Struthio camelus: one gene and its partners. The protein of the gene in region 4 interacts with the protein of the main gene of each other region in a biochemical or structural test. Links are inferred from orthologs where the notes say so. Each region holds a gene or a part of one and is shown on either strand. Other genes may lie near its edges. The genes, in order: RNF40, RAD18, RNF20 and UBE2A.

The links.
Region 1: the proteins of UBE2A (region 4) and RNF40 form a complex in vitro, tested with the Homo sapiens proteins (3 studies listed by BioGRID). The link is inferred for Struthio camelus from reciprocal best matches to the Homo sapiens genes UBE2A and RNF40.
Region 2: the proteins of UBE2A (region 4) and RAD18 form a complex in vitro, tested with the Homo sapiens proteins (12 studies listed by BioGRID, with this or other methods). The link is inferred for Struthio camelus from reciprocal best matches to the Homo sapiens genes UBE2A and RAD18.
Region 3: the proteins of UBE2A (region 4) and RNF20 form a complex in vitro, tested with the Homo sapiens proteins (4 studies listed by BioGRID, with this or other methods). The link is inferred for Struthio camelus from reciprocal best matches to the Homo sapiens genes UBE2A and RNF20.

The regions. Positions count from the first base shown.
Region 1 is NC_090973.1:1,071,683-1,079,418, reverse strand, and holds the start of RNF40 (E3 ubiquitin-protein ligase BRE1B), read right to left. Parts: upstream 3,015-7,736; 5' UTR 2,973-3,014; coding exon 2,841-2,972; intron 1,840-2,840; coding exon 1,672-1,839; intron 1-1,671.
Region 2 is NC_090955.1:1,140,641-1,148,484, reverse strand, and holds the start of RAD18 (E3 ubiquitin-protein ligase RAD18), read right to left. Parts: upstream 3,100-7,844; 5' UTR 2,927-3,099; coding exon 2,852-2,926; intron 2,740-2,851; exon of another isoform or gene 2,523-2,739; intron 2,410-2,522; coding exon 2,328-2,409; intron 1-2,327. UniProt on the Homo sapiens protein: E3 ubiquitin-protein ligase involved in postreplication repair of UV-damaged DNA. Postreplication repair functions in gap-filling of a daughter strand on replication of damaged DNA.
Region 3 is NC_090982.1:15,765,537-15,773,176, reverse strand, and holds the start of RNF20 (E3 ubiquitin-protein ligase BRE1A), read left to right. Parts: upstream 1-4,571; 5' UTR 4,572-4,589; coding exon 4,590-4,596; intron 4,597-4,691; exon of another isoform or gene 4,692-4,777; intron 4,778-5,072; exon of another isoform or gene 5,073-5,204; intron 5,205-7,089; coding exon 7,090-7,256; intron 7,257-7,409; coding exon 7,410-7,577; intron 7,578-7,640. UniProt on the Homo sapiens protein: Component of the RNF20/40 E3 ubiquitin-protein ligase complex that mediates monoubiquitination of 'Lys-120' of histone H2B (H2BK120ub1).
Region 4 is NC_090952.1:12,048,061-12,055,430, forward strand, and holds the start of UBE2A (ubiquitin-conjugating enzyme E2 A), read right to left. Parts: upstream 3,139-7,370; 5' UTR 2,780-3,138; coding exon 2,736-2,779; intron 2,416-2,735; coding exon 2,335-2,415; intron 2,244-2,334; coding exon 2,218-2,243; intron 1-2,217. Other genes in the region: STEEP1 (STING ER exit protein), read left to right, coding at 4,462-4,585, 4,986-5,103, 5,472-5,513, 6,087-6,225, 6,749-6,838, 6,972-7,064. UniProt on the Homo sapiens protein: E2 ubiquitin-conjugating enzyme that accepts ubiquitin from the ubiquitin-activating enzyme E1 and transfers it to a E3 ubiquitin-protein ligase. In vitro catalyzes 'Lys-11', as well as 'Lys-48'-linked polyubiquitination.

The DNA of each region.
Region 1 (7,736 bases), on a different chromosome or scaffold from region 4:
GGCCCCGGGATGGGATTTTGGGGCTGGAAGACAGGATTTTGGGGTGTCAGGGTGGGATTTGGGGGTTCAAAAACAGGATTTTGGGGGGTCAGGACAGGATTTTGGGGGGTGGAAGACAGGATTTTGGGGTGCCGGGACGGGGTTTGGGGTTCGGGGACAGGACTTTGGGGCCCCGGGATGGGATTTTGGGGCTGGAAGAGAGGATTTTGGGGTGTTAGGATGGGGTTTGGGGGTTCAAAAACAGGATTTTAGGAGGTCAGGACAGGATTTTGGGGGGTCAGGACAGGATTTTGGGGTGCCGGGACGGGGTTTGGGGTGCCGGGACGGGGTTTGGGGTTCGGGGACGGGGTTTGGGGTTCGGGGACGGGACTTTGGGGCACCGGGATGGGATTTTGGGGCTGGAAGACAGGATTTTGGGGTGCCAGGATGAGATTTGGGGGTTCAAAAACAGGATTTGGGGGGGTCAGGACAGGACTTTGGGGGGTGGAAGACAGGATTTTGGGGTGCCAGGATGGGGTTTGGGGTTCGGGGACAGGACTTTGGGGCCCCAGGATGGGATTTTGGGGCTGGAAGACAGGATTTTGGGGTGTCAGGATGGGGTTTGGGGTTTGGGGACGGGATTTTGGGGGGTGGAAGACAGGATTTTGGGGTGCCGGGATGGGATTTGGGGTTCGGGGACGGGACTTTGGGGCCCCGGGATGGGATTTTGGGGCTGGAAGACAGGATTTTGGGGTGTCAGGGTGGGATTTGGGGGTTCAAAAACAGGATTTTGGGGGGTCAGGACAGGATTTTGGGGGGTGGAAGACAGGATTTTGGGGTGCCGGGACGGGGTTTGGGGTTCGGGGACAGGACTTTGGGGCCCCAGGATGGGATTTTGGGGCTGGAAGACAGGATTTTGGGGTGTCAGGATGGGGTTTGGGGTTTGGGGACGGGATTTTGGGGGGTCAGGACAGGATTTTGGGGGGTGGAAGACAGGATTTTGGGGTGCCGGGATGGGATTTGGGGTTCGGGGATGGGACTTTGGGGCCCCGGGATGGGATTTTGGGGCTGGAAGACAGGATTTTGGGGTGTCAGGGTGGGATTTGGGGGTTCAAAAACAGGATTTTGGGGGGTCAGGACAGGATTTTGGGGGGTGGAAGACAGGATTTTGGGGTGCCGGGACGGGGTTTGGGGTTCGGGGACGGGACTTTGGGGCCCCGGGATGGGATTTTGGGGCTGGAAGACAGGATTTTGGGGTGTCAGGATGGGGTTTGGGGTTCGGGGACGTGATTTTGGGGGGTCAGGACAGGATTTTGGGGGGTGGAAGACAGGATTTTGGGGTGCCGGGATGGGGTTTGGGGTTCGGGGACAGGACTTTGGGGCGTCAGGATGGGATTTTGGGGCTGGAAGACAGGATTTTGGGGTGTCAGGATGGGGTTTGGGGTTCGGGGACGGGATTTTGGGGGGTCAGGACAGGATTTTGGGGGGTGGAAGACAGGATTTTGGGGTGCCGGGATGGGGTTTGGGGTTCGGGGACAGGACTTTGGGGCCCCGGGATGGGATTTTGGGGCTGGAAGACAGGATTTTGGGGTGTCAGGATGGGGTTTGGGGTTCGGGGACGGGATTTTGGGGTGCCAGGATGCAATTTGGGGTCAGGGATGGGGTTTTGGGGGGGGGGGGGGGACACGCCACCTGGCCCCAGTAGCGGTTGACGATGAGGAGGGTGGCGTCGTCGGTGGCCTGGCGCTTCTCGAGCTTCTCGATGCGCTCGCGCAGCTCGTCCTCGCACGCCTGCCGCTGCTCCAGCCGCTCCGCCAGCTTCTTGTTCTTGAACTGCAGCACCTTCAGGTCCATCTCCTCCTGCGGGGCCCAGGCGTCCGGGCGCGCCGTCAGCCTCCCGCGGCGCCCCCCCACCCCCGGCAACCCGGGGTCCCCCCCCCCACCCCACCTTCCGCCTCTGCCAGGCTCAGGCCGCTCTGGGGGGCCCAGGTGTCCGGGGGACCCAGGCGTCCTGGCATCCCGGCCAAGCTCAGGCCGCTCTGGGGGGCCCAGGTGTCCGGGGCACCCAGGCGTCCCAACATCCATACCAGGCTCAGGCCACTCTGGGGGGCCCAGGTGTCCGGGGGGCCCAGGTGTCCTGGCATCCCGGCCAAGCTCAGGCCACTCTGGGGGGCCCAGGTGTCCGGGGGGCCCAGGTGTCCCAGCACCCATCATGCTCAGGTGACCTCAGAGGACCCAGGCCTCTGGGGGACCCAGGTGTCCTGGCATCCCGGCCAATCCGCGGGGCCCAGGCGTCCGGGCACCCACCAGGTTCAGGCCACCCCAGGGGACCCAGGTGTCTGGGGGGCCCAGGTGTCCGGGCCTGGGAAGGTCTGGCCACCCCAGGGGACCCAGGTGTCTGGCAGGGGGGAGGGGGGAGAGGAGAAGGGACCCAGGCGTCCGGGGGCAGGATGGACCCAGGCGACCGGGTGTGCAGGGGGGGAGAGGGGACCCAGGCGTCCGGGTGTGAGAAGGACCCAGGCGTCCGGGTTGGGGGGGGGGGGGGGGGGGGAAGAGGGGACCCAGGCGCCCGGGGGGGGGGGGGGGGGGACCCAGGCGTCCGGGGGCAGGATGGACCCAGGCGTCCGGGTGGGGGGGGGGGGGGGAAGAGGGGACCCAGGCGTCCGGGGTGGGGGGGACGGACCCAGGCGCCCGGGGGGGGGGGGGAGAGGGGACCCAGGCGTCCGGGGGGGGGACCCAGGCGCCCGGGGGGGAGGGGGGGACCCAGGCGCCCGGGGGGGAGGGGGGGGGAAGAGGGGGGACCCAGGTGTCCGGGGGAGAGAGGGGACCCAGGCGTCCGGGGGCGCGCAGCGGGTACCCACCGTGGAGGAGATGCCGCCGAGGCGCAGGGGCTCGATGAGGGTGGTCGGGGGCTGCTCGTCGCGCGGCGCCTTCTTCTCGGGGGGGCCGGCGCCCCCCTCGCCCGCCGCCCGCTTGCCCCCCGCCCCCGACATGGCGCCGGCCGGACGGGGCCGCCCGGAGCGCTGGCCGGTGACGCTGAGGAGCAGAGCGCGACCGGGAGTCGCGGTGAGTAACAGGGAGTAACAAGGAGTAACGTAGAGTAACAGTGAGTATCCAGGGGGTGGGGGGGAGGGAGCAACGCTGAGCATTGGGGAGTAACGGGGAGTAACAAGGGGCGAGGGGTGAACAGGAAAATGAGGGGGTAACAGGGAGTAACAAAGAGCAACATCAAGTAACAGCGGGTATCAGGGCGGGGCGGGGAAAGAGGGAGTAACGCTGGGCATTGGGGGGTAACGAGGGGGAAATGGGGAGTAACGCGGGGTGAGAGCTGAATAGGAAAATGAGATAGTAACAGCAAGTAACAAGGAGTAACACCAAGTAACAGCAGGTATCAGGGCGGGGTGGGGGGAAGAGGGAGCAATGCTGAGCATTGGGTGGCAACGGGGAGTAATGCAGGGTGAGGGGTGAACAGGAACATGAGAGAGTAACAGGGAGTAACGAGGAGTAACGCCAAGTAACAGCAGGTATGACAGCGGGACGGGTGGGAGAGGGAACAACACTGGCATTAGGGGGGTAACAAGGGGGAAACGGGGAGTAACAAGGCGTGAGAGCTAAATAGGAAAATGAGATAGTAACAGGAAGTAACAAGGAGCAACGTCAAGTAACAGCAGGTATCAGGGCAGGACGGGGAAGACGGAGCAAAGCCGGGCATTGGGGGGTAACGGAGTAACGCGGGGTGAGCGGTGATAGGAAAATGAGGGAGTAACAGGGAGTAACAAGGAGTAACATTGAGTAGCAACGGGTATCCGGGCGGGATGGGGAAAGGGGGAGTAACGCTGGGCATTGGGGGGGTAATGAGGGGGAAATGGGGAGTAACGCGGGGTGAGAGCTGAATAGGAAAATGAGATAGTAACAGGAAGTAACAAGGAGTGACATCGAGTAACAGCAGCTGTCAGGGAGAAATGGGGGGAACAGGGAGCAACGCTGAGCAATGGGGGGTAACAGGGAGTAATGCAGGGATGAGGGGTGACAGGAAAATGAGGGAGTAACAGGGAGTAACGTCAAGTAACAGTGGGTATCAGGGCAGAATGGGGGAAGAGGAAGCAACACTGAGCATTAGGAAGTAACAGGGGAACAAGGAGTAATGCGAGATGAGGGGGAAACACGAAAATGATGGCGTAACAGGGAGTAACAAGGAGTAACGGGGAATAATTAGGGGTGTTATAAAAGGGTAACAGCGAAACGGGCTGTAATGGGACTGGGAAAGGCCGGGGGGAAGGGGGCAGCGGGGGAGTAACGAGGGGAAAGGGGGGGAATGGGGAAGTAATAGGGGGTAACAAGGTGTTATTAAGAGAGTAACGCTGGTTACAAAGCAGGAGGAGCTAATGACGCAGTAACAGAGTAACGTGAACTAATAAAGCAGCAAAGCAAGAGTAACATAAAAATACAGAATAATAAAATAAAAAGGAGCAGTAACAAGGTGAGAAAAGGGGAACGGGAGAGTAATGCAGAGTAACAACGCAGTCACGCTACTCGAGAAAGAGTAACAGCGGTTACAAGGCGGAAAAAGGGAGCCAGCAGGGGAGAAAGGCAGAGGAGGGGGACCGTGGGAGTAACACAGAGTAACAAGGGGCGGTAAAAGAACAACAAAGAGCAGGGTAACAAAGGGGAGAAGGGAGTAACGAGCGGAAAAGGGGGGACGGGAAGTAACATAGGGTAACAAGCAGCAGGCGCTACGGGGGGGAGGAAAGGGGGGTAATGGTGGAGTAACGCAGAGTAACCAGCAGTAACAAGGGGGTTATACGAGAGCAACTGGAATACGGGGGATAACGAAAGGGGAATGGGGAGGTAACGTGGAGTAACATGGAGTAACATGTGACTTAGAGTAATGGTGGGTAGGAAAGGGAAAAGAGAGCTAACAGGGGAGTAAAACAAAAAATTGGGGGGGGGGGGAGTAACACAGGGTAACAAAGAGTAACAGTGCAGCCACAAAAGAGTAATAGGAAAACAGGTGGCGACGAGGGAAGAAAAAAAGGTGGGGGGGGGGGGACAAGAGTAACATGAAGTAACAAGACAGTCATAGAGAAGTAACAGGGATTGCAGGGGGACAAAAGGGGGCTAATGGGGCAGTAACACAGAGTAACACAGAGTAACAAGGAGGTTATAAGACAATAATGACGAAAACAAGGTAACAACCAGGGAAAGGGGCAAACGAAGGATGAAAGAACGGCGACGCCGGACCGACGGGCAGAAAGTGGGCAAACGGGGGAGTAACACGGAGTAACGAGGAGTAACAAAAAGATTACAGAAGACGAACAGGGTAGAAGCAGGGTAACAAGCGAACAAGGAGGGTAGGAGGGGACAACAGGCAAAAAGGGGGAAACGGGGAAGTAACACAGAGTAACAAGGAGTAACGACAGGGTCAGAAAAACAGTAATAAGGGAAGAGAGTAACGGGGGAGTAACGAGCAGAAAATGGGGGAATGGGGGAGTAACAGAGTAACGAGGGGTAACGAAGGGGTTGTAAAGGAGGGATGGGGAAACAGCACAACGAAGAAAAGAGTAATAAGGCAGTAACGGGCACAAAAAGGAGAAAGAAATACTAACACAGAGTAACAAAGGGGTTACGGGGGGGACAAGGGGCACGACGAATAACGGGGTAACAACAGGGGGATAACAGGGGAGCAAGGGGCAGAAAAGGGGGAAACAGGGGTAACGAGGGACTAATGAAGGGTAACGAGGGGGTAAAAGGGAGGTAACAGCGGAGAAGCGGGCAGAAAAGGGGAAACGAGGAAATGATGGGGGTAATGGGGTGCACGAGGGTAACGGGGGTGATACAGAGGTTGCTGCAGGGTAAGGAAGGGTAACGGGGTAACAACGGGGTAACACGGGAATAACGGGGGTAACAAGGTGGTAACAAGGGGTAACAAGGAGGATAACGGGGGGGACAAGAGAGTAACACGGGTCCTGAGGGGTTAATGGGAGGGTAACGGGGGTACCGAGAGGTAACAGGAGGGTAACAGGGGCCCAAAAGCTAAAGTGGGGGGGGGAACCAGGGGAGAACAAGGGGTAACAGGGAGGGTACCAGGGGGATGATAGAGGGTGATGGGGGGGCAATAAGGGAGGGATAACAGAGGTCTCCAGGGGTAATGGGGGGGGGTAATGGGGATGCTCAGGGGTAACAGGGGTCCCAGGGGTAACACGGAGTAGTGGGGGGGGTAATGGGGGTCCCCAGGGGTAAGTGGGGGAAGGGGGGTAATGGGGGGTAACGGCAGTAATGGGGGTCCCCGGGGTAACGGGGATGCCCAGGGGTAACGGAGTAATGGGATGGGGTAACGGGATGGGGTAACAGAGGGGTAACCGGGGGGTAATGGGGGGTCCCTGGGGTAACAGGGGGTAAAGGAGGGTAAGGGGGGGTGTTCAAGGGTAACAGACGGTAACGGGTGTCCCCAGGGGTAACGAGGGGGAATGGGGTGAACAGGGATGCCCAGGGGTAATGGGGGTAACAGGGGTCCCCAGGGGTAACAGGGGAGTAATGGAGGGGAACAGGACTCCCCCGGGGTAATGGGGGGTAACGGGGGTCCCCAGGGGTAATGCGGAAGTAATGGGGGGTAACGGGGGTCCCCAGGGGTAATGGGGGGGGAAATGGGGGGTATAATGGGGGTCCCCAGGGGTAATGGGGGGGGAAATGGGGGGTATAATGGGGGTCCCCAGGGGTAATGGGGGGGGAAATGGGGGGTATAATGGGGGTCCCCAGGGGTAATGGGGGGGGAAATGGGGGGTATAATGGGGGTCCCCAGGGGTAATGGGGGGGGAAATGGGGGGTATAATGGGGGTCCCCAGGGGTAATGGGGGGGGGAAATGGGGGGTATAATGGGGGTCCCCAGGGGTAATGGGGGGGGAAATGGGGGGTAACGGGGGGTAATGAGGATCCCCAGGGTAACGAGGAAGAAACAGGAGGTAATGGGGGGGGGGGAACAGCGGTCCCCAGGGTAATGGGGGGGGTAATGAGGGTCCCCAGGATAATGAGGGGGTAATGGGGATACCCAGGGGTAACAGGGGGTAATAGAGAAGTAATGAGGGTCCCTGGGGTGGGGGGGGGAACTGAGATTAACATGGGGGGGCCCAGGGGTAACAGAGGGGACAATGGGGGGGGGGACAGCACTACCCAAGGGTAATGGGGGGGGTGTAATGAGGGTCCCCGGGGTAATGGGGAGGGTAACAGGGATGCCCGGGGGTAATGGGGGGGGGGGTTATTGAGGAGTAATGGGAGGGTAATGGGGAGGTGTAAAGAGGGTCCCTGGGGTAACGGGGGGGGTAACGGGGGGGGTAACGGGGACGCCCTGGGGGAACGGGGGGGGGGGTAACGGGGACGCCCTGGGGTAACGGGGGGGGGGGTAACGGGGACGCCCTGGGGTAACGGGGGGGGGGAACGGGGACGCCCTGGGGGAACGGGGGGGGGGAATGGGGACGCCCTGGGGGAACGGGGGGGGGGTAACGGGGACGCCCTGGGGTAACGGGGGGGGGGGGGGTAACGGGGACGCCCTGGGGTAAAGGGGGGGGGTAACGGGGACGCCCTGGGGTAACGGGGGGGGGGTAACGGGGACGCCCTGGGGTAACGGGGGGGGGGTAACGGGGACGCCCTGGGGTAACGGGGGGGGGGTAACGGGGACGCCCTGGGGTAACGGGGGGGGGGGAACGGGGACGCCCTGGGGTAACGGGGGGGGGGAACGGGGACGCCCTGGGGTAACGGGGGGG
Region 2 (7,844 bases), on a different chromosome or scaffold from region 4:
CCACGTATTTCAGTATATAGAAAGGAAGAGAATCTCAAAATATTAATTTAATCTGAGAAACAGTTCTGAACGCTTAAATGAAAATGACAGAGTAGAAACATACAAAGCATTGCCAGCAAATAATCCACTCCATTAAGCTTAAACTGAAAGAAGCAAGGTGGAGAGAACAAAGAGGAACAAAACAAGCTTGGCCTCGGGACATTACAAACCTCTGTAACGAACAAGAGTCAAGGATGCCACAATTTACACACCAGGCATCTAGAACTCTAAGTGAACAAGCAACTCTGAAACCTGCTTAGCTAGAAACAGGCTGGCAAGTTCAACAAAGATTTTAAAAAAGAGAAATCCTGAATGACAGGAAAGAGCTCCCTCCAACAGCTGTGGACATTTCTATATGAGTAAGTCAAAGCCCCACTTTCCACACTACTCTTGACACAGGCCAAGACCGCAGAGCTGCGCTCATGCTGAGCTGTGCTTGGACGAAGGCTGCGACTTGGGAAAGCTGCTAATTCACAGGGGGCTGATGCGGTCAGTAGCTCTTCCCATCACCCAGCTCAGTCCCTTGCTGGAGGCCGCTGCAGCGCGCGGATCGGAGACATCCCTCAACCATGTCACAGTCACTGGGTCATTTAAGCCCTTTAGATTCCTCAGGAGGGGCAGCATGTTTTAATACTCCTACTACAAGCGGTAACGAACACCAACCAATAAGAAGCACATCTGGTGGTAATAACCTCTTAAACCACCTCAGCATAAATTGATTCAGTTTGCGAGATGAGTTTAGGATTTAAAAAAAAAAAAAAAGAAAAAAAACAGGAAGGCCCTACTTTTAAGGCCTTAAAGAAATCCTGATTTATTGTAGAAAACTTAGGCTTGTTGCAAATCGGGAAGGAAAAAGTCAAATATATAACCTGTGAAACACAGTAAGATAGACAGTTTCTTATTCAAGTTAAGGGCCATTGAACTGAGCTGTGTCACAGGCAGGCTAGTAACACCAGCTACCGTAAGGAATTTCCAGTGCTTCTTCCACTGTTTTCAGTCGCTTACAGTTTTACCAAGCTAAGCTAAATCTCATTGCCAAACTACAACGTTCTCCTTTTTGTAAGACAGTACTACAGTTTCTGAATGAAACAATCATAGGCATTCATTTTAACATGAGACAGGCAGTGTACTTTCTCCTAATCTGACTTCAGTAAACCGTTTTGTTACCACCTTCCAACAGATTTCAGCCTGAAGCAGACAGTGTGGCATGAAAAATTCTAGCTCATAATACTCAATGCTTTCTGCCATACAGCTCTGAGATTTGCTCCTACCTCAAGATTTTATGAAAGACATTTAAATGAAGGATTTTAGGAATAGATGGGATTTAAGTTAATCCAGACAGTATGTGCATTTGTATCATCATCAGAACAGAGGCTGCACCCAAACTGCTCGTGGAAAAGTTGGTGGCTGCTTCACAGCTCTCATCCAAAAGAGGTCCTCTGCAATATTGCACAGGCAAACTTCTTTGCTGACTAAACTGTGGAGTAGCACTGAAAATTTTGTAAAGGAAATAAAGGATCGATAGCCTCTGCACTACACTCCAGTAAATAATAATTGGTCAAACGATGGCTTGTCTATAAAACCATAGAGGAGAAAGTTTATAAAAGTAAGTTTAGAAAAGAAAGTTTCTTCAGTGGCTTTCTGTCACACAGATAAGGCGCAAGTGGATTTTGTCAACCCGTAATAAAAACCACAAGGCCACTCTCCAGTCCTGTGTTTTCCAGGAAAGATATAGGAGGACAGAGCCATCCACTCAATATTCTATATGCCTTCTTTGGCCTTCTGTTTTCGTCCTAATCTGTCAGCTGAATGACAGATTAGGCATAACTGGAGTCATAAGGCCAAGATGCACTACTATCACAGCCACCCTTATACTCCTTGGAATAAATGGGAAGGTGCAAACTAAACAAAATATAATCTTAAATTATATTAAAAGCCATAGCATAGTGGGAAAAATGAATTCATCACCCATTTAGCAACTTGCCATAAAAAGATCACTTTGACTCCTATTCTAGAGCCATTCATAAGTCTAATTTTTATTAAACCTTGATTTTAATCACCCAAATCAATACAGATTTTTATGTGATCTTCAATAAAATACAGTGTTAATCATGGGACAGCAGGTATAGATTTACAATGAAAAGGAAATAACAGTTCCACGTTCACCTCTATGAACAAAAAATAATAGCAAATTACAAGAGATAGTAGGATGAAATGAGTCAAGAACAGCAAGAAATTTACATAGTACTTTCAGTACAGGAAATCATGCTTCCTTAAATCGTACTTACAGTTATGTGAGCACTGTGGAATGATCATTGCAATATTGAAGTAATCAAAACATATCCCACACCGCAACAAGTCGTCCACCGCCTGAAAGGAAAACACAGGTCACTTAGAGGACTTCTTGCGTGAACCGCGAACGAGCAAACACACACTTCGCACAGCATAAGACCTTGCGCACCACATTCTTAAGCGACACAGACCGAAACGCACCACCCGCAGCCCGCAAGGGTGGAATTTAATGCCCGGCATTACTTATATCCGAAAGAGGTGCCGCGGCAGACCCCTGCAGAGCGAAGCCTCGCCGGGCGCCCGGCTGGGGACGGCGAAGCCTGAGCAGAGCGGAGCCGGCCGCCCTCAGCCCCGGGCCGCGCCGGGCCCAGGCCCTTCCCGCCGCCGGGCGGACACCGCTCCCCTCACGGGCTCCCCTCACGCCTCCCCCCCCGCCATTTTGGCTGCCCCCCTCGGCCCGCGGCCGCCATGTCACCCTCCCCGCGGGGCGCAGGCCCGCCGCCGCTCCGCCCTCACGCGCCTTCAGAGGGGCCAGGCCGGGCGGCCACGGCGGCTCGGGCAGGGGCAGAGGCAGCGCCAGCGCCGCGGCGGCCATAGCGCCCTGGCACGGCACGACACGGCACGGCACGGCCCTGCCGCGGCCGCCGGCGCGTCCAAATCCCCCGCGCTCCGCGCGCCGCGACGTCGGCGCGCTTCCGCCGGGCTGCCGGGAGTTGTAGTCCGCGGGGCGGGGGCGGACTCGGCTTCCCCGCGGCTTCCCGGGCCGCCGCGCGGGCTGCCGGGAGTTGTAGTCCGCGGGGCGGGGGCGGACTCGGCTTCCCCGCGGCTTCCCGGGCCGCCGCGCGGGCTGCTGGGAGTTGTAGTCCGCGGGGCGGGGGCGGACTCAGCCTCCCTGCGGCTTCCCGGGCCGCCGCGCGGGCTGCCGGGAGTTGTAGTCCGCGGGGCGGGGGCGGACTCGGCCCCCCCCGCTGTAGGCGCGAGCGGAGCGTTTAACGGCTGCCTGAGGGGCGGCGGTGCGCGGCGGGGGGGGGGGGGAGCGGCCTGCCCGCGCCTCCGCGCCCGATACGAACCCAAAACTGAGCATTTTTTCCCCCCAACTAGAGCATATTACTCATTTTTCATTTCCTAATGACGTTTAATTCAAAAACTCGTGCTCGGGGAACGTTACAGGCCCTGCGGAGGAGCAGCGCGCGAAGCGCTCGCCGGGCGCCGGGTGGGTTGTCGGGGGCGGCCTGGCGCCGGCGGGAGGCCGATGGCCCTGGGGTGTGCGCGTAGCCCCCCAAAAAAGGCTGCGTTTAAACGGCCTTTGAGGCAAGGCCGGGCCGAAGGCGTCGGCTCGCTTGAACCGACGCGGGCAGAAACCCCCGCACCAGCCAGTGTTCCCTTGTAGTACGCAAGGGACGGACTAAGATCCTGTTCTGAGCCTCAGTAATTCACATTATTTTTATAATAGAGCCCCCATATGACATTTTGCTTTGTAGAAATACTCAATTTGCCATTCAGCTTTCATCACTATTTTGCTTTCAGAGAGAAATGGAAGTGAGCCAAAAATAACATTTGCAGCAGTGTTTTGGGCAGATACAACATGTTTTGGCTGAAAACAAAGAACGGGTGCAGTGGTCAAAACGGTAGATAGACTGTTAGTGCAGGGGTTAGCTGTGTGTAGAGAGAGGGCAGTCCAGCTGGTGCAGAGCTACTGCAGCACAAAGAGTTAGATTTAGAGACACCGCTGACAGCAGGATGGGGGAACCCGGAGAAGAGGCCACGTTAAAAACCAAAACCAAGCCCAGAACCGTCCAGGTGGCACGCTGAGCGTCGGGGCGTTGATGGCAGCGGTCGTGTCTGCGGTAGCGCGGGTAGGAGAAGGTGGTTACCCAACGTGGCTTTCCTTCTCTCCTTCACTGTGACACGATACAATATCCAACTTTTCTCTCCAGGTAGGGAGAAAAGCATGTTGACTGGGGTAAAGGCTAAAATCGAGTTTGGATCTTCTTTATGTCAAAGAGATAGCGGTGTACATGGGGAGCGTACCAGGCGGTTACGCGCGGTCGCAGGGGCGCCTGGGAGATGGAGCTGATTTTGCAGCTGGTCTGACTTTGCTGATCTCAGCAGGACTACGTCAAGGATCTGTTTACTCCACGGATTAATAAACGCTGAATCTGCCAGATGTGGTTTTGTTTCTTCAGCAATGGAGCTATGTCATGCTATCCCTTGTCAACGCTATATCAGCTTCACTGTTTAAAAGCATGTGTTGCAGCAGCAGAGTTAATGGCAACAAGAAGTCAGGATTGTGAATTGATTTGTTTTGCAATCTAATATTGCTGGAACAGTGTGATATAATAACTGAGGAAAGACAGGTGACAGAGTAGGACAGGGGACACACATAAGCGCTAAAATCATGGCACTCATTTCTATGCATGTGTCCTCTTCACTGCACTCTTATGGATGGTTTCTAGATGCCATACAATTCTCAACCACTGTCATAACTGTTCACTCAGGTGAAAAATGAGATGCGGCACTGAGGGATGCTATTAGCTGCTATGATAGTCTTTGTCTGTGTCTTCCAGGGTATATTCATTTAAAAAATAGCTAAAACACTGTCCAAAACATCTGGGGAAATGGTCTCCTACTTAACTTCTCTTTTGCAATTAACCTACTTCATCTCAGCACAGGTAACTTTTTCTGTTTACATTTCTCTGTAGAGGTGTACGTCAGACCTGTGCTATGGGAACAACCTGCTGTATGCGCGTACCTGTCGCGGGGATGGGTTGCTATGGTAACGCACATTATCACCATCGCTTCCATCGGCCACAAAGGCTGAGATTGAGCTGCTTGTTCTCCTCAAAGTGGGCACCGCAAAACCCAGGCTAAAAATAAAAAGCTGCATGGATGGAAAACAAACAAAAAGGGGCAGGTAGCACTGATCATGACTGAGCACTACTGATGCGCTTGCAGAAGGTTTAAAAGTTGTCCAGGAGTTTGGGGAACTTAGTGCATTGCCAAAGCAGTATAGGATAAAATGCCAAAACAAGTCTAAATGACTTTGAATCCTCAGTCCTATCATGCTTTGGAAAAATACTCTGTAAAGTAAGAAAATAAAAATGTGATATATTGACAACAGTTAGCACAGTAGTACCTGTGCTTCCGCAGCTCTATTTCCTTTTAACTTAAAATCTGATTTTATGGAAGTTTTTCCACCAATCTCAACGTGACGCTGTTTGCTGGTGTGATTAATAGCTGTCTGTGTTGGAGAAATATATGGATTTGCTGGCAGAGGTTGCATTTCTACTGTAAATACCAATTATGTCAAAATAGATTTTTTTGCACAGAAAACTTCTGCTTCAATACGCTTGCTTGGAACTGTGCCGTCATCCCTCTGTCTTCCTGCAGTGTATTCATTAGTGTTTATCAATCTTCTTTAAGGTAGCCTGTCAGTTCTGCTACTGACATTTTCAGTAGCAGATTACACTAAATATGGCTCGATGAAAGGAATGACTTTATCTTGGAAACAGTCACACTGAAGCATCTACATTGTCTTATAAAAACGTCCCAGGAAGGGCCACCCTCTTCTTGCTTTTTCTAATAAACATTGGCAATGCAAGGCAGAGTTCAGAAGATGAAATTCCATTTCTGCTAGTACCTACGGTTTTCCAGAGCGAAAATGTGCTTTGCCTTAACAGTGACAAAGCTTCATGCAATCCAAATTTCAAACGCTAAGGCCTAAAGCAAGGTCATGCCAGCTGCCGCTCAAGGAGTGCCCGATGCACAGCGTGCTCAATCAAGATGAGCAGATGCCAGTCCACCAGCAGGCAGCCCAGCATAATCCACTGATAGAGTTCCCTGCGTGCTGCACAGTTATGAATTTTATTACTGATTAAATTTATAGGAGCAAAGGTTTTTCCACATACACATGCAGGTTTAACATTTGTACATTAATCTGCAGAACAGTAATATCTTGCTCTCTGCCCTCCTTCAGCTCACAGGTTGGTTTTGAGCACCTCAGTTTTGCACCTGCCAGTGACTCAATTGTGCTGTTATCTGAAAACCATGCACATGAGTGCCTCATTTTTCCCATAAGACAAGTTTTGCAGTAGTGCAATTTCAACGGACTTGCTCCTGATTCACTCTAATCTGCTTTTTTGGTAAAATAAAGTCAAGCTCCATGAACTGGTACTCAATAATTCTTTTATGTACACACACACACACACACACACACACACACACACACACTTTTTATGTATATATATAGGACACACCATGACCATAGGATGGAGGAGGTCAGAACAAATTATCATAGTAGTCTCTGCTGGGCTTATGCTTTAAATCTCTGAATTTGTATATTTGAATGGTACTAATTACTGCCTGAGATGTGCTAAAAATACGTAGTATTTACAGGATAATTTCATTGCAGTTTAAGTGCTTGTTCTAACATTTTAAGGAATCCATTTCTTCTGCTTTCTCTAAGCTATGAGAAATTGATATATCAGTTTCTTACGGATCTTTTTAAATTTTCTCTTCTTTCTCTTCCCTCATACATTCTTGTTCCAGTTTCACATAGCTTATGAGACAAGCTTATTGGCTAGCGATTAACTGATTCTGCCCAGGAATTGACATAAGGGTTTCATTAGCACAGCAACATGTTTATTCTGTACTTTGGTAGACTGATGAATAGCAAAGGGCAATGTGTTTATTGCTGAGCCACAGCTATGCATGCTGCTACTGAATAAGTAACAAAATATTTCCATGGTAAAACGCCTTATGAAACAACCTAGAAGAAGTGGGGAGCGAGCTGAGGAGCCCTTCAGCTGGGGTATTAATAAAAGCTTCTCCTTTGCCTCGCTGCATGAAAATGCAGCGTTTGGCTCCAAAATGCCTGCTATTCGGTGAAATATTCTTAGAAGTGGCTATGGGTTCTTGGCAAGAGGGGATGGGCAATGTACGGCGACCCTCGTCCCCAGCGACATGGGAACTGCATTTCCGTGGAAAGGCAAGTCAGGACAGCTGTGAGACGGCATTGGGAAGGGAGGAAAGCGCTGGCACGGTCTCTGCTCCCGCCACTGAGAGGGCACCAGGCCTCAGGTGCCCCAGCATTACTGACACCCCTACCACATTCTTCACTGTGATGCAAAATTATCCTGACGGGTAGCGATTGCGTTCCAAGCACTTAATTTGTGAGACACGTTGCCGTGAAGAAACCCGTGCCCTGGGCAGAAGAAACCTTCGCCATCACCAGCAGCTACACCAAGAGCAATAGGGTAAGGGAGCCCAGGTGGCACCTGCTCAGGAGGGGCCGCGGGGACGGCTGTGTGCCCATAAGGCATGGTCCCCAGAGACGGACGCGCATATGCGTTGCTTGGCCGCCAGTCCCTTCCTGCTGGGTCATCGCTGATGGAGGAGGTTGGTTAACTGGAGGCAGAAGAGACGGAGCAGCCTGCCGGGAGCTAGCTGTGGAAGAACGGCAGACACCCCTTCCAGCTCCCTGTCAAACAGCCGTCCTCATCTTAACCTCCAAA
Region 3 (7,640 bases), on a different chromosome or scaffold from region 4:
TACAGAGCTTACCAAGATACAAACCAATTTCTGCATAACAACTCTTTAGAATTTAAGTGCATTATAGCTATGGATGATAGACTTAGGCTTATTCGGAGGAAACTAGTCATAGCACTGTTTCCAGAATCAATGCTTACAAAATCCCTCCATATGTAAGTGCCCTTGATGTTAGTAAATAGTTCAATGGGTATCCCTAGTAAATGTGCCCAAGCCTGGTGCACTACAACATGGCTTTTTCATTCCATTTCATACTCATGGCAACAGCATTGGACCCTTTGCTACATTTGTGAGAGGAGAAAAAAAAAATTGTCCTACTTTCGCAACCCACCCTTTGGCATAGTAAGGTAAAGGCAAAGTGATACAACAGCATATGATACTAAAGCAAACCTTAAAGAATCAAATTATGAGCACGGACTGAAGCTCTGTGCTTCAAAGGTCATATTTAAAATGCAACCTGGTAACTTTCTTACTGGCTGTCAGACTCTGATAACATGCAAGTCCTTGTTACACAAATCAACCAATAAGAAAGAGGTGTCTTTTAAGGCACTAGGATTTCTATTGTTGCTTCAGGAAGCCCATGATCAAAATAACAGAAGAATAAGATAAAATAATTTTGGAACCCGTAGTAGGTGATTCAGGAAATGAAGGGGGTTAGGCAGCTCAGTTTAGGAACTTCATCCTATTTATTTATTTATTGCGGTTGGTTTTCCAAGGAGAAAGCTACATTTGCTTTGAAGCCTAAGACCTGCAGGCACACAGGACAGGATCTGGCACTTTCTTTTGGAGTTAAGTTCCACTAATGAGCGTCTTCCTTCTCCTTCTTTTGTTTTTCTGTTTTTCTGGAGATTTTCCCTACTTTTCCTGTCAACCACATGATCTTGTGTAGTAGGCTTTCGGCGTATGTGTAAACTACCACAGAAAACAATAAGGGTTGTGTTTCATACCTGATATTCTAAGGTAACTACCCATCTGTTTGCCCTGCACTAAATACAGAAAAGGAGAACCTTGTGCTAAGGGCTAAGCAACCTTGTAATGTAAGATAAAATCAGTATGTTGTCATGAAGTAACAGGTTTGCTTTCACTTCACGGTTTAGCTAATGAGAGGTAGACTTGTTTGTGTGCTCACATAAAAAAAGACTTTTTCCACCCAAAAATTTATGGCAAGGGCTTAGCTCCATTTAATTGGGGGCTCTGGTTAGCTCTTTTAAGGCAGTCAGTCTGCAGTTCTGGATACTATTCTGCTTTGGCCCTACCCAGTGGTTGCTTGAGGACTGCATTTTTATAGCTTAGTCCTTAGTTCCATTTCTTTGACCTCTTTCCTTGCGTCTGCAACTTACAATCCCCTTCTCCATCTGCCACTGACAGCACCACCAGCTGACTGGCTGAAGCGTTTCTGCTCCTGGCTGTGGGATACATCTTTCTTCTGCTACATGTTCAGCAGATTCTAGGGCACACAACCTTTCCGGAAAAACAGAGGATTTCTCTCAGCCATCTGGGACAACGCCTCCTGTCAGCCATGTTCTCTGACTGAGTTTCACTTACAGATTTTTAGCAGGATCTGTTATGAACATCATGCTGCCTCTTATATGGCAATTTCTCCCAAAAGCAGCAGAGTTCTGCTGGATGAAGGATCTTTTGTGATTTGTCCTGGGTGTGTCAGACTTCCAAATTTAACTAGATGCCTGCACGCTGCCTGTCCAGACACACCTGGATAGCATGTGAATAGTTCACATTGCTGAGTCTCATCATCTTAGTTTACTGAAAAGGAAGCACTTCAAGCCATTTTCTAGGACTTTCATACCAAATGTTTGTTGTTCTTTGAGATGTATACATGCTATTCCCCTTAAAATTTGAGAGACAGACAACATTTAGGCTTTCATAGGTCCTTTTGATTTGGAATAGAGATTGATTTGACGAGAGGCTCAGGTATTCTCAGCGCAATTCTGGTCACAAGACTAAAGTCTTGTTTACACTGGCAGAACCAGTCAATTTGAGAGCCCTTTTGTAATCACTGCCCTAGCGTACTACTACTAGGAGCTCAGAAGTATCCTCTGTAGGCTGTTTCTTATGCTAACACAACTTTACTTATTCATTTTACCTCCAGTTTGGGTTGATGTTTCTTCATATCAGTCTCCTCTCTGCTCATATTCAAACATGAGCGCATGCTTTTCCAAACCTCTGCCCCAGTAATTCAAATTCCTGAGTAGCTGTAGTTTTGCATGAAGAATCTGCTTAAATCTCTCCTATAGCTATTGCAATTGAAGGACCTTGGTTAAACCTGCCAGTTTCAACAAGATGCAACACTACTTAAAATATTCCTAATGGACTGAAAATACTTCCAGATTACTCCTGCACACCTTGTAGTTCCTCTTCAGTGAGACTGGATTGCTCAGTTCTTCCAGTTTCTTCAGACAAGTATCTCAAGTATTAATACTCCCTCTCTTTCTCTCTTTAGCACCCTTATCAAGGCTTGCATTTCAACGATATCTGTCTTATCATCTGTGTATAAGAATTCACGAGGACATGGTAGCGAATCTATAATATCACTAGGGGAACTGCATATTCCTTCTAAGAACGGGAACAAGAATCTCAGTACTCAGAGAAAGACTACATGCCTTTCAGGAGTTACGTAAAGATCAGTGATAAAGGAAAGGAGGAGGAGGGCAATTTTGCTGTCTTCAGTTTGTCAGCGGTGTGCAAAAGTACACAGGTATCCTGAAATATAGCTGTCTCATTACTAGCATTACAGTCTGGCTGGCTAAAAAGGATTTTCCTGTTTAAACCTCTTTCTAGGGCACGCCCAAACTGTATGTAGTATACACTACATAAAATGAGAGCTCAAAGATCAATGTGGATATTTACTGAAAACATGGTAATTAATATAGATACTGAAGAGAATATGCTGAGTAGGAGGCTGTTTTGCAGGAAAAGGGTTTTTTTTTTTTCTGTGTGAAGGAAACACCAAGGTATGCAGAGACAGAAAAAACAGAAGATGAAATAAAAGTCTGTGACTGTCCTTACAGTCACAGCTTTGCAGTGATGATGTAAAGCTAAATTTTTTTTCCTACACAAGTCTATACAAGATCAGCATTCAAGGTGGGGGGGGGAAGGGAAAAATAGCACGGCGTCAAGGTGAAGAAAGCGCAAAGACTGAAAGCTAATGCTCATTCGAGAACCTGATTTTGAGTTTGTTCAGTTCAACAAAAAAGCTTGCATTGGTTTCAAAGATTTTCATCAAGGATTGCCTGCAGTAAGTATCAGTGAGCTCCCTTACCTTTTATTCTCAGCAAAGGGGTCTTCAGCTGAGAAATGCTGTGGGCAAAAAATGCATTAGCAAATATTTTGTACTTAGCAAGGCTTGAATGCAACCTTCTAAAAATACCCCGAGGGAGTATTCACCTTTTTAGTTCCGTTACATGACCATTATTCTCTGCTGTGCTATCACGTGGACGCAGACTTCAGCTAAGCTGGTAAACTGTCCCATATTAAGTGTTCTCACACTTCCTCATAAAACCAAGAAACTATCTTGCTCGCCAAGCTAGTTGTTGCACCTGCAGTGAAGAAAAAAATCACACAGGAAACATTTTCTTCGGAAACTTAGAATTTAATTCAGCCTAAAATCTTTTGTCTGGTAGTTTATTACTCTTGGGTATAGCAGTCACTGATACTGAGATTTTGTAATATGGCCACTGTTTTCTCTGTGGTGTTTTCAAAGAGAGAACAAAGAAACCAACTCTCGAGTTGGCAAAAAGAGACTCTCTGGGACTGCACAGAAAGCTTTCAGTTCCCTAAAGAGGCACACCTATTTCAAAATGATAAACAGAAAATAAACCCTGTCATACTGATCATGTCTGCTTCTGTTTTTCCACGTGTCAAGTGTTTCACCCTCTAGCAAGACGGGCGGACATGGAAACACGACTTTAAACAACAGTGCAGTTGGAGCTAGGCCAGGCGGAGTAGATGCGTTATTTTTATGTGGCGTTACATATACGAACAGGTGACCTGCATTGCAAAAGTTCACATACACCTGAATCCTAACTTCCTCAGAAATGAGGAAGTAGTCTCTTCTTCCCGTGCCTTCCTAACACCGCCCGCCCTGGTCGCTGCGGGGAGAGCCGAAGCCACGGCCCACGACGGACGGCGTTTCTCTCCTGCCGTCGTCCCCCCTGCCCGGGCGGCAGCGCTGCCCTCAGCCCCTCGCTCCTCCCGCAGGCGGGCAGCGGCGGCCGCCTCCGCCGCGGCCCTTCCCGGCAGCCATTTCGCAGCCCCGCGGCCAATGGACGAGCCCGGCGCCGAAAGAGAGACGCGTCCTCCCCGGCGCTGCCCGCGCGTCCCGCCGCCGCCGCCGCTCGGGCTGCCTCGGCCGCGCCTGCCCCGCCGGGCACCACCGGGGCGAGGAGGGAGGGCGGGCGCACGCCGCTGCCCCGCCTGAAGACGGCGGCTCGGCGAGGAAAGCGCCGCCGCTGCGGCGGGGCGGTGGCGACGGCCATCGCACGTGAGGGCAAGGGCGCTGGCTTCAGACGCCTCGGCAGCGCCATGGCAACGGCAGCCATGTCGGACGAGCGCAAGCGGCGGGCGGCGAGGCCGCCATGACGGGTGAGGGCGAGATGGCGGCCGGCAGCGCGGCGGCGCAGGGGCGGCACCGCCTGGCGTCCTCGCCTAGCGAGGGCCGGGATTGGACGGGAGGCGGCGGCCGTCACTTCCGGCCGGCCGCGGGGAGGCGGCGGCGGCGGCTGGGGGCGCGTATGGGCCGGCGGGGCCGCGGCCGGCGGTGCGGGTGCGGCGGGGGGCGCGTTGGGGACAGTGGCGGTGCGGCGGCGAGTGCGGGAGGGCCCCTGGGACGTGGGTGCCCCGTGTGTGTTGAGGGGGAGGGCCTGTTGTCGGAGCAGTCGTGTTGACCGCGGGGGGAGGTGGGCAGCGGGAACGGACGGGAGGCTGCCGGCGTAAACGGCGGCTGTGGAGGAGGCCCGAGTTTTGTATATGAGTGAGGAGAGCAAAAGGGATTGGGGGAGGGTGCGTTTCTTTGAAGTTGGCGTTGGTTGTGAGGTGGGATGGGTGGGGGCGGGGCAGAGGGAGGTGAAGGGTGGGATCTGTGCAGCGAGGGTGGCTGTGTGCACCGGGCAGAGTGAGTTCGTCATGGAGGGTGGGAGAGAGGAGCCTCGAAGTGTGTGGCAGGAACGGGCAGCTGTGTCGGGGGTTGTCTGGTTAGTATTGAGTTTAAAAGCTCAAACCCAGTTAGAAGGTAAGGGGCTGTGTATAAGTGGCGAAATATTACGTCTGGGGAAGGTTGCTGTCCGCAAATGATTGAGGGGGGTTGACTCTTGGCTGGTGGTAGGTGGGGGCGATGCCAGGTGGGAGTGTGTTTTGGTGCCTCTTAGTAAGAGAGGTTTGAAGGTAAGAGAGAGGCAGGAGGTATGACAGGCTGAGTGCCTGGTAAGGGAGAGCACCAGTCTTTGGCGAGCGTGGTCTGCTGTGGAGGTTGAGTGTGAAAGGACTGCGGCTGAGCTTGGGATTCAGTTCCTCAGGGAAAGCCAGGGGCTGTGGTCCTGAAGCCTTAGGGGCTGAGTTCTGGCACAGGGTACGTGAGAAAGTGAGTATATGAGAGATGGTGCCAGGAGGCAGTACAGTAAATGTTTTGTCCAGGGACAAAAAGGTTGAAAGGTGGTAGTCATTAATAACTCCTTGTCCTGAAGCATAGCAAATATAGCTTAGCAAAAGGTGTTCTCTCTCTGTCTGTCTGTCTCTCTTCTCCTCTCTCTTTTCTTTTCTTCTCCTAATTGTCTAGTCCTTGTAGCTAAAGTCATTGCCCACTGCATTACATTGCTGAAAGGAGAAAAATAGTTAAATGGAAGCTGCCTTTGAAACGTTTTTGAAATTAGAGATGTATTTAATGTTTTTTATTTCAAGACAGGTTATAAGAGCACGGGGAGAGATGTGTGGTATTTCAGTAACTCATTTTGAAATAGCCTTGCTACCGTTCTATATATGGTGAAAGCCGTTGTCAGAGTAAAATGCTGCTTAAAGAAGGTTTGGCAAAGCCACCAGTGTGCCAGCTTAATCTTCAAAATACAATAGCCTCATTACTTTCAATAGAACTACTCAAATAAAGCAAGTACATAAGTACTGCCAGGTTCATTTATAACCTGTAGTTGCACTGAAAGTGCCATTTTAGACTAAAATGGAAAAATACAAATCTTATTTGTATGCTATGCATTTTGTTTACTTTTATGTTTTAGTTAGTTGGGAAGTAGAAAGAGACCTGTAGATTGCATGGCCATTGTGAATATGGGAGAAGAATGCTACTTTCATCAAGTGAAGATCTAATTTGTTTCCTTGCCCAGCACTTGCAGCTGTATTTGTTTTGCAAACCTTTTGAAGAAATATTTGTTCCTTAATTAAAAAAAATCATATAGAACTAGTAGTCTAAAGTTTTTTCAGATTGCATTAATTTGGTCCCAAATAACGCTTCCAGAATGTTTATATCTCTTTTGAAACACACATAGCAAACTTACCAGAGGAGTCTTTACCAACCTCTCCTTGGAACTGCCTTTCATTTTACTAGTGTTTCTAAGGTCTTTATGTGAACTCTTATACGGCTTATCTTTGAGGTGCTGATGCCTTCAGCTTTATTTGACTGTGCATGTTGTTATCATAAGAATCCGGCTGGTACAAAGTGTATGCAAACTCAGGAAGTCTTTGGGTTATAGATAGTTCCTTGTAAAAGACAAATCATTTTTGTTAAAACACAGAGATAGAAAAGCCACAGGCTAAACCTGCATGAAATTTTTTTCCAAGGCGCATGACAAGGCACAGTGACTGTTTCTGAACGTTGCAGAGCAGTGGCTCTAATGCTATGTTATTTCTTTCATCCTTTTGCTACTCACCATGCTAGCCCTGCTGGGGCTACTCACTTTTGAACAATGTTTTCCAAAACTTTCTGAGTTAGATTTTTCTGTACTGTGTTGGGCATCTTACTGTGATGAATTGGTGCATTAAAAACCCTAAATGGAATTGACTCGGGGGGGGGGGGGTGTGCACGTGCATTTACTGTTTTTTTTTTTTAAATTGTGTTCTTTAATGTTAACGCAGAACTTAAAGAAGGGACAGTCTGCTACAAATCAGCCGCCATGTCTGGAGTTGGCAACAAACGGGCGGCTGCAGAGCCTGGCCCTTCTGCACCCCCAGAGAAGAAGGCAGGAGTTGAAGATTCAGGGACGACAGTGGAGACCATTAAGCTAGGCGGCGTTTCCTCAACGGTACGTCTTCCTTGCACACCTGCACTCAAGCTCTCGCTTGCTTATCTGGAAACAGAACTATCTTTCTTCCTTCTTTCTGAGCCCGGTGACCTTGGTTGTGGAGCATGCCAGTGCTGTGCCAGATGCATTGGTCTGACTTGTGCTTCTGCACAGGAGGAGTTGGACATCCGTACCCTACAGACCAAGAACCGGAAACTAGCAGAGATGCTGGACCAGCGGCAAGCAATTGAAGATGAGCTACGGGAACACATTGAGAAACTAGAGCGGCGGCAGGCCACTGATGATGCCTCTCTGCTGATTATCAATCGTTACTGGAACCAGGTTAGTAACATACTTTAATATGCTGTTTGCCCTTGTCTCCTCTTATATTCACCTGCATTCTGT
Region 4 (7,370 bases):
GTTTTCAATTCAGATAAACCTAAGAAACTTTGGAATTTGAGATTCAAGGGAGGCCTCACCAGAACGAGGATGAAGAACTGTAATTTTCACTGTGCTGGAATTACTATAGCTGCAGTTTAACAAGAAAATTTTCACAGGCTACTTTCACACAAACCCATATATTTGGAGTCTAGCAGTACCACCAGGAAGTGACAGAGTTCAACAACCAAAATACAAAGTGACTTCTGAAGAACTAAGCCCTGTGAAGACTTCACGGGAAGAATTACAGAACGCTAGCATACATTTGGCTCACGAGGGGCTGAACAGCTACAAAACAAGCCCAAACTAACATCTGAATACTGTTAAATAGAAGGTCCTTTTATTTTACCCACATTAAGCTAAACTGCATCTTAACTGTGCTACCATTAGTCCTCTCAGTTAAGGGGGGGAAAAAGCACATAGAAACCACTACATCCATATCTCTAGGCACCACTTAGTGTTTTGTTATCTAGCACAATGTAAGATATGTGCCAGGGGAAAGGAGATAAGTGTATCCTGCAGCTCAAGACATATCTGTTTTCCTGAGCATGCGCCGTGAAAACACACACTTTGCTATGAAAAGAGCAATCCATCAGACACCAAGATTATATTATTATAGCAACCAAAGCAGTAGGACAGCCGTAGCCAACACAAGCATCAGTTTGAACTTCAAACTGCTGAGAGTGCAAGAGGCCCTAAGTATGTGAGATAAAGGCACAATACTACCATAATGGAAAGCCACAGACACAATCAATAAGTCAGGGCACTCGGAAGCAGTCTCCAGTCTTCAGTCAATAAATGGATACATATGGAGAAAGCCCTTATAACATCTGTTTACCTCATGCTGAACTGGAAGTGACTGAACATGGAAACAACCTGCAATTTACCAGGTCCACACTGGAAGGAGAAGGCCTCCAAACAGCAAATCATTCTATTAGTGCCCGTGTACCAAGAACCCAGGCAGCTCTATCAACCCTCACAGAAGTTTAAGGAAGTCCTCCTCTTAAGTTTCCAAGATGAGATTACAGAAGACACTTGTGCCATTTCTGTGATATTTGTTGGAGAACACTCAAGTTCCAAACCACATTAGACTTTCTTCAAGAAACTTCTAGAGCTTCTTGCATAATCATGTATTTAAAAACAAAAACAAGTAAATGGAGTTTTCTCAGGTATGAGATACTGAAAGTATTCAACATCTTCACCGAAGAGATGTGGAATTTACAGGCCTGCCTACAGGTGCTACCTCTGAGGATAAGCAGAGACAAAGGAGCCAGCCAAAAACAACTTAAGAGTTAAAGAGTTTTTCCTATGCTTTTGGCATGAGTCATGAAGATCTAGGATTAATTATAGCCCTGCACTGAAAGTATCTTAAAATAAATAAATAAATAAGCAAGCATCACTGAGTTCAATTAGACAGTATTTCATGTCTAACGAGTTTCTACAAAGATGCTGAAACATTCATACAGCATCAGTAGAGCTATAAAAGAGAGCAAGGCCAGACAGAAACAAGTAGTGCACAGGTATGTTACACAGACCTATTTAGTCAGCTTTGAAGTTGAAAAAGTCATTTTAATCTTTAACCTGGAATGATACTGATTGTAGTAGAGTGAGGTAGGTGGCAAGAAAAGAAACTTCTATTCTGAACTTCCTCAAACACCCAGTCCATATCCTTATGTTACCTCGCTCACACTGGGACCTACTTGTAAAGCATTTTCAGCATCAAAAAAGACACAACCCAAGATATGTCATTCGAGATGACAACAGGTCTATACCAGGTTTTTGGCAGTGCTCCAACTATAAACACGATCTCTAAAACACGATCCAGAATTCAACAAAAACGTTCTGATATCCCTAGAATGGTATGTTAGATCAGACAGAGGACAGCCTGATTTGGTGATTATGAGCAAGCCTCTACAGGCTAATTTGCACGTTTTCATAAATCAAGGTCAACAGGCTAATTTGCATGTTTTTGTAAATCAAGGCAGCAATCTAGGTCTATTCCACTTTCTTTAGGTGGGGAAGGAAAGAGATGCACTGAAGTCGCGGGCGCGGCACGGCGACGGAGCGCTGCCAGGCGGATCCCGGACTCGCCCCCTCCCCACCCCAGGCCCGCAACTGCCGCCCGGCCCGCGGCAGGGCCCCACCGAGCCTGTGCCAAGCCGCCCCTCACCCGAGAGGCCCGCGCCCCGCCGCACTTACCGTCCTCGAAGGGGGTCCCCTCGGGCCTAGAGGAGAGGAAGCAGAGCACAGCGTTACCGCGCGGCACCTGGGCTCGCCCCCCCCCCGCCCGCCCGCCCGCCCCGCGGCCCCACTCACCCGAAGATGACGGCGTTCCACACCATGATGTTGTTCTCGGAGGGGGCCCCGCTCACGCCGGCCGGGGGATCCTCCTGCAGCCTGCGGGGCACACGGAGGGCTCAGGCGCCCGGCCCCGGCCCCGGCGCCCCCGCCCCGGGGCGCCACCGGCGCGGCTCGAGCCACCGGCCGCCCCCCCCCCCCCCCCCGCGCATTTGGCGTAACCCGGGCAGGTAGCTACACGCCCCTGCGCAAACAGCGTAACCCGCGCCCAGACGGCGTGGCCCGGCGCTACGCAATCAGCGGAGCGCGCCCTACCCCGCCGCCATGTTGTGCTGGCCCCCTCCTCCCCCGGTGGAGCTGAGCCCTTCTTCCTCCTCCCGCTCGCCCTTCCCTTTCCCCTCAGCCAGCGGCCTCGATACCTCTTGAAGTCCCGCATGAGGCGCCTACGGGCCGGAGTGGACATGGCGGGCGCAGGGTTATAAATCACTCATACACTATCGGAGGGAGAGACGCGGCGCCTAGGGACGGCGGCGGCAGCAGCGAGCTCCGGAGGCGGCGGCAGCGCTGGAGAATAGGAGCGACCGCGGCCGCTACCACCGGGCCGGCGCGGGGGGAGGCCGCGGGCTGCGCCGACTCCTCCGCTGCTGCCGGGCGAGCCCGGCCTGTACCAACTGCCGCGAGGGGGCGGGGGGCGGAGCCGGATGCCGCTCGGCCCTCGGAGCCGCCTCTACCACCGCGGCGGAGGGGGCGAGGCCTAGGGCACCGGGGACTGTACCAATGCCTGCCGCGGACGGAGGGAGCCGGAAGCGGAATGGGCCTGCTGACGTCATGGAAGGAGGGCGGGCCGCCTTGCCTTCCCAGAGCCGCGTCGCGCGTTCCCCCCCGCGGCGGCGCTGCTGGTGGGACGGGCGGGCCGCGGCGGCCCCGCCCCCGGGCGGTGCTCAGCCTGGGCGTTTTGTGGTGGTAACTCAGTGGAAAACGGTGTCTGCTTCTGCTGCTGTGTTTTGCTTGTGGCTTAGAGGGCAGGTGACGTTGGGCGTCTTTTGGACCCGTGGTTTATTATCATTTATTTACTCACAGTAAATGTTTCTTCTTCTATAAGCGTCCGTGTGCCATCTCCTGTTTGCATTGAATTGTTTCTGAGCCAACATCCACCCTCCATTAAAATCTGGTAGCTAGTGCACTAAAATCATAAGTCTTTAGTATCTTGACTAATAATTAAAAGAATGAAGGGAGGTCTTTCTACTCCTTCACCTGCTATGGTGCATTTTCTGCTCTCGCATAGTCTTCTAAGAGAAAGTAATCTCTCTTCTACCTTTCTTGCAGCCTTTGAGCGTAGAGAATTTCTCTCTGCTACGACCTAGAAGAGACTGGATAGACCCTGTTTTTGTAACTTATCCACATTTGTATCTTATGTAATATAGTTATGTGGGGAGGTGGCTTAAGAAAAAGACGTGGGAGGAAGACTCATTCCCATTGACAGAACTTGTCAGGTAAGAGAAAGAAATGGCTAAAGCTTATCAGACATTGAAAATATTGCTTGCATGGCTACACTGAAAAATCTGTCTTATTCTTGGCCTTCCCTACTTTTACTCAGACTGCACAATAAGAAACGGGCAAGTTATTGATGTTTGTCCAAAAGAGACTTTGTTCCACTTCCTGGGTTCTGGTATGCATGAGATCGCTATTCCTCTGCGGACGATCGAAGCCTGGACAAACCTGAACGGAGCTATTCGAAAGGAAATCATTTTTAACCATCTTTCCATTCCTCACAACTCGGAGTGCCTTTGTGCTGAGATCAGGCCCAGATGAGGCTACTTTATTTGTTGCTTTCAGAGAAATTACTCAAGGTCTGAATTCAGCTGTTCCGGCTCTGCTTCTAACGTGCAATCGCGCTGGACTGTCCTGGAGTTGGAAAGCGGATCCGTTTAGCTCCCCTGGTGCTGACCCGTGTGACCAGCCTCACGCTTCCCAACTGCAGGAGAAGCAGCCATAGCCCCTCGGTGCAACCCGCTGCCTCGCCTGAGGGAAGGGGCGCTCCGCTCCCGGCGTTGGTTGCTCCGTCGGCCGCTTCGCCCGTGACGAAGGGGCGGTGAAGGGGCGGCCGCGGCTCCGCCCGCCGGGGCGGCGCTGCCGGGCGCCGCCATGCCCAAGGTGGTGTCGCGCTCCGTCGTCTGCTCCGACACCCGCGACCGCGAGGAGTACGACGATGGCGAGAAGCCGCTGCACGTCTACTACTGCCTCTGCGGCCAGATGGTGTTGGTGCTGGGTGAGCCGGGCCGGGCCGGGGAGCCCCCGGGCAGCGCCTTCCCCTCAGCGGCGGCGGCCGTTGGCCGGGGGGGGGGGGGGAGCGGGGCGGCCGTTAGCGGCGCGGCCGTTGGCCGGGGGGGGGGGGAGCGGCGCGGCCGTTAGCGGCGCGGCCGTTGGCCGGGGGGGAGGCGGCGCGGCCGTTGGCCGGGGGGGGGGGGAGCGGCGCGGCCGTTAGCGGCGCGGCCGTTGGCCGGGGGGGAGGCGGCGCGGCCGTTAGCGGCGCGGCCGTTGGTCCCCGACGCGGCCCGTCAGGCCGAGCGGGGCGCTCGGGGCCGGGGAGGGGGGAGAAGGAGGGGGGCGCCGCCGCCGCCGCCGCCGGCCGCGGACCTGAGCGGCCGGGGCCGGCCGTGTGCCCGCAGACTGCCAGCTGGAGAAGCTGCCCATGCGGCCGCGGGACCGCGCCCGGGTGATCGACGCCGCCAAACACGCGCACAAGTTCTGCAACGCCGAGGAGGAGGAGAGCGTCTACCTGCGCAGGTGGGCCGGCGCCCCGCTCGGCTGGGGCTCGCCCCTGCTGCGCGCCGGCAAGGACACTGCTGGAAGCGGCGTCTGAAGGGGGCCGGTGAAGGAGCTCGGGTTTGATGCCCCCCCCGCCCCTTCCCCCGCTGAGGATTACCCCTCGCAGCTTCCCCAGCGTCTGCCCCGTTTATCCTCTCCGTCTGCTGTGTCCGTTTCCCTTGCTATCCCAGATGGGGAGATCCTTCAAAGTCCCTCTGTAATTTGGGAAAAGTGAGCGTCCCAGCCTTCATATCCCTATCCTGCTAGAGTCACTTCCTTTTACAGCCGAGTGGTCGTGTCTGGGGCCTGTGCGCTTTTCTTAACGTGCTCTCTCTCTCTCCCCCCAGGCCAGAGGGTATAGAGCGACAGTACAGAAAGAAATGTGGCAAGTAAGTGACAACAGAGCCAGTGTTCACAAGACAGCAGAAAACAGTGTTTGTGCGTGCTTGTTTACATTTTTCAACCCTCCTTGATTTGCCGTGCCTCCTTAGAAATAACATTTTAATCCCTGTTTTAGTTACTGAAAATAGCCCTCCTGAGAAGGGTCTGTTACAGTGTTTTACAACCTTGATCCATGTCAAATCTAAAACTAGAATACTGCTTGACGCTTCCTGTCATTTCTGTACAGCACTGTTTGTTTTATTGAGCTACTTGTTTTTGTGACCTAGGAAAACAGGGATGAGCTAAGCGTGTGTCACTGAGTGCAAAGGAAAATGGGAACACTAGGATAATCAAAATCAGAAGTTACTGACTAATTTTTAATGGCTGCTGATTTATTCTGGTATCATGCGTTTTTGTAAAAGGCTTCAACCTTTCAAAGTGCATTTCAACCCTTAATTGCTGCAAGAACAGGAGCATGGCAATCGTGATTTCGTTTAGTAATTTTTGGAGTCCGTCTGTTAGGTAGCTACGGGAATCCAGAATCTGGGTTTTCTTACAGCTAGATATGTTTCTGTTTTCAGGTGTGGACTGCTGCTCTTTTATCAACACCAACAGAAAAACGCTCCAGTGACTTTCATTGTCGATGGTGCTGTGGTCAAATTTGGCCAGGGCTTTGGGAAAACAAACATATATACTCAGAAACAAGAGCCTCCCAAAAAGGTAATCAGCTTTAGAGCAGTAACAAAGCTGTCTCTGCTTTTCAAAAAGGTGCAGTGGATAAAATGGCCTAATTGGGAGGAGGAGGAGGACCTGTAATAAGATAACTCAGCTCTGTCTTCTCCATGTGTGCCTTTAGTCTTTCGTTACAGAGGTCACAGCAGCTTGGAGTCCTAGAACTAAAGGACAGCAAAGTGAATTTGGAAGTCTGGACTCTGCCTGATCTTTGGCCTCAGTTACCAGAAAGTTTCAATTTGTAAATAGGTCAGACTGGTAGTCACCCCAGTCTGTGTTGCCAAGCGCACAGATTCTCAAAATCTGGCTCATCTAGTTATATGTAGGCAAGTTTGCTCCTGATAATGACAGCTTTGAGCCCGGAAATCACTGGGGCTGCTTCTGCTGTGCCACCCACAAAGTTCATGTAATCTTAATGACTTGTATAGAAGCCTTAAAAGCTTTGGGGTGGGGAACACTTAGTAACTCAACTGTTCCCAGAGTCTAACAAAATACTCTACTTGTCGTGCAGGTGATGATGACCAAACGGACCAAAGATATGGGCAAGTTCAGTTCGGTCACAGTCTCCACAATCGATGAAGAGGAGGAAGAGATTGAAGCGGTGAGTTTTCTCTGCCCTCAGTGCCAGTCAGATCTGAGCTGGGCAGCTGAATCAGAGCTGATGGTTACCTCACCAGCTGGATGAGATGCTATTAGTCTAGGGTTTACTGTTGCAAAGTGACACTGTGTTTCAGAGGGAGATTGCAGACTCCTATGCACAGAATGCAAAAGTGATTGAGAAGCAGCTGGAACGCAAAGGCATGAGCAAAAGGCGGCTACAGGAGTTGGTGAGTGTTTTCCTCACTGTTGAACACCAGTCCCTGTGATCTGTTGGCTGTCTATGCAGAAGTTATCTTGCAGATCAGACCGAGTATATCAGAGTATAGAGAGGTCTTGGTACAGTCATAGGTAATCTGTAGCTTTGTCAGGATCTTTTTTCCTTTACAGATTGTACAGAGGTGTTCCTCTAGTCCTCCTGAACTTAAAATCATGCACAACTACCTATCGAGCTAACCAAGGAGCAGCAGGCAGAGCTTTTGCAGGGAGACTCTCCTTGACCTGTTGGACAAGGAAAGTGGAAGGAGAAAACCATG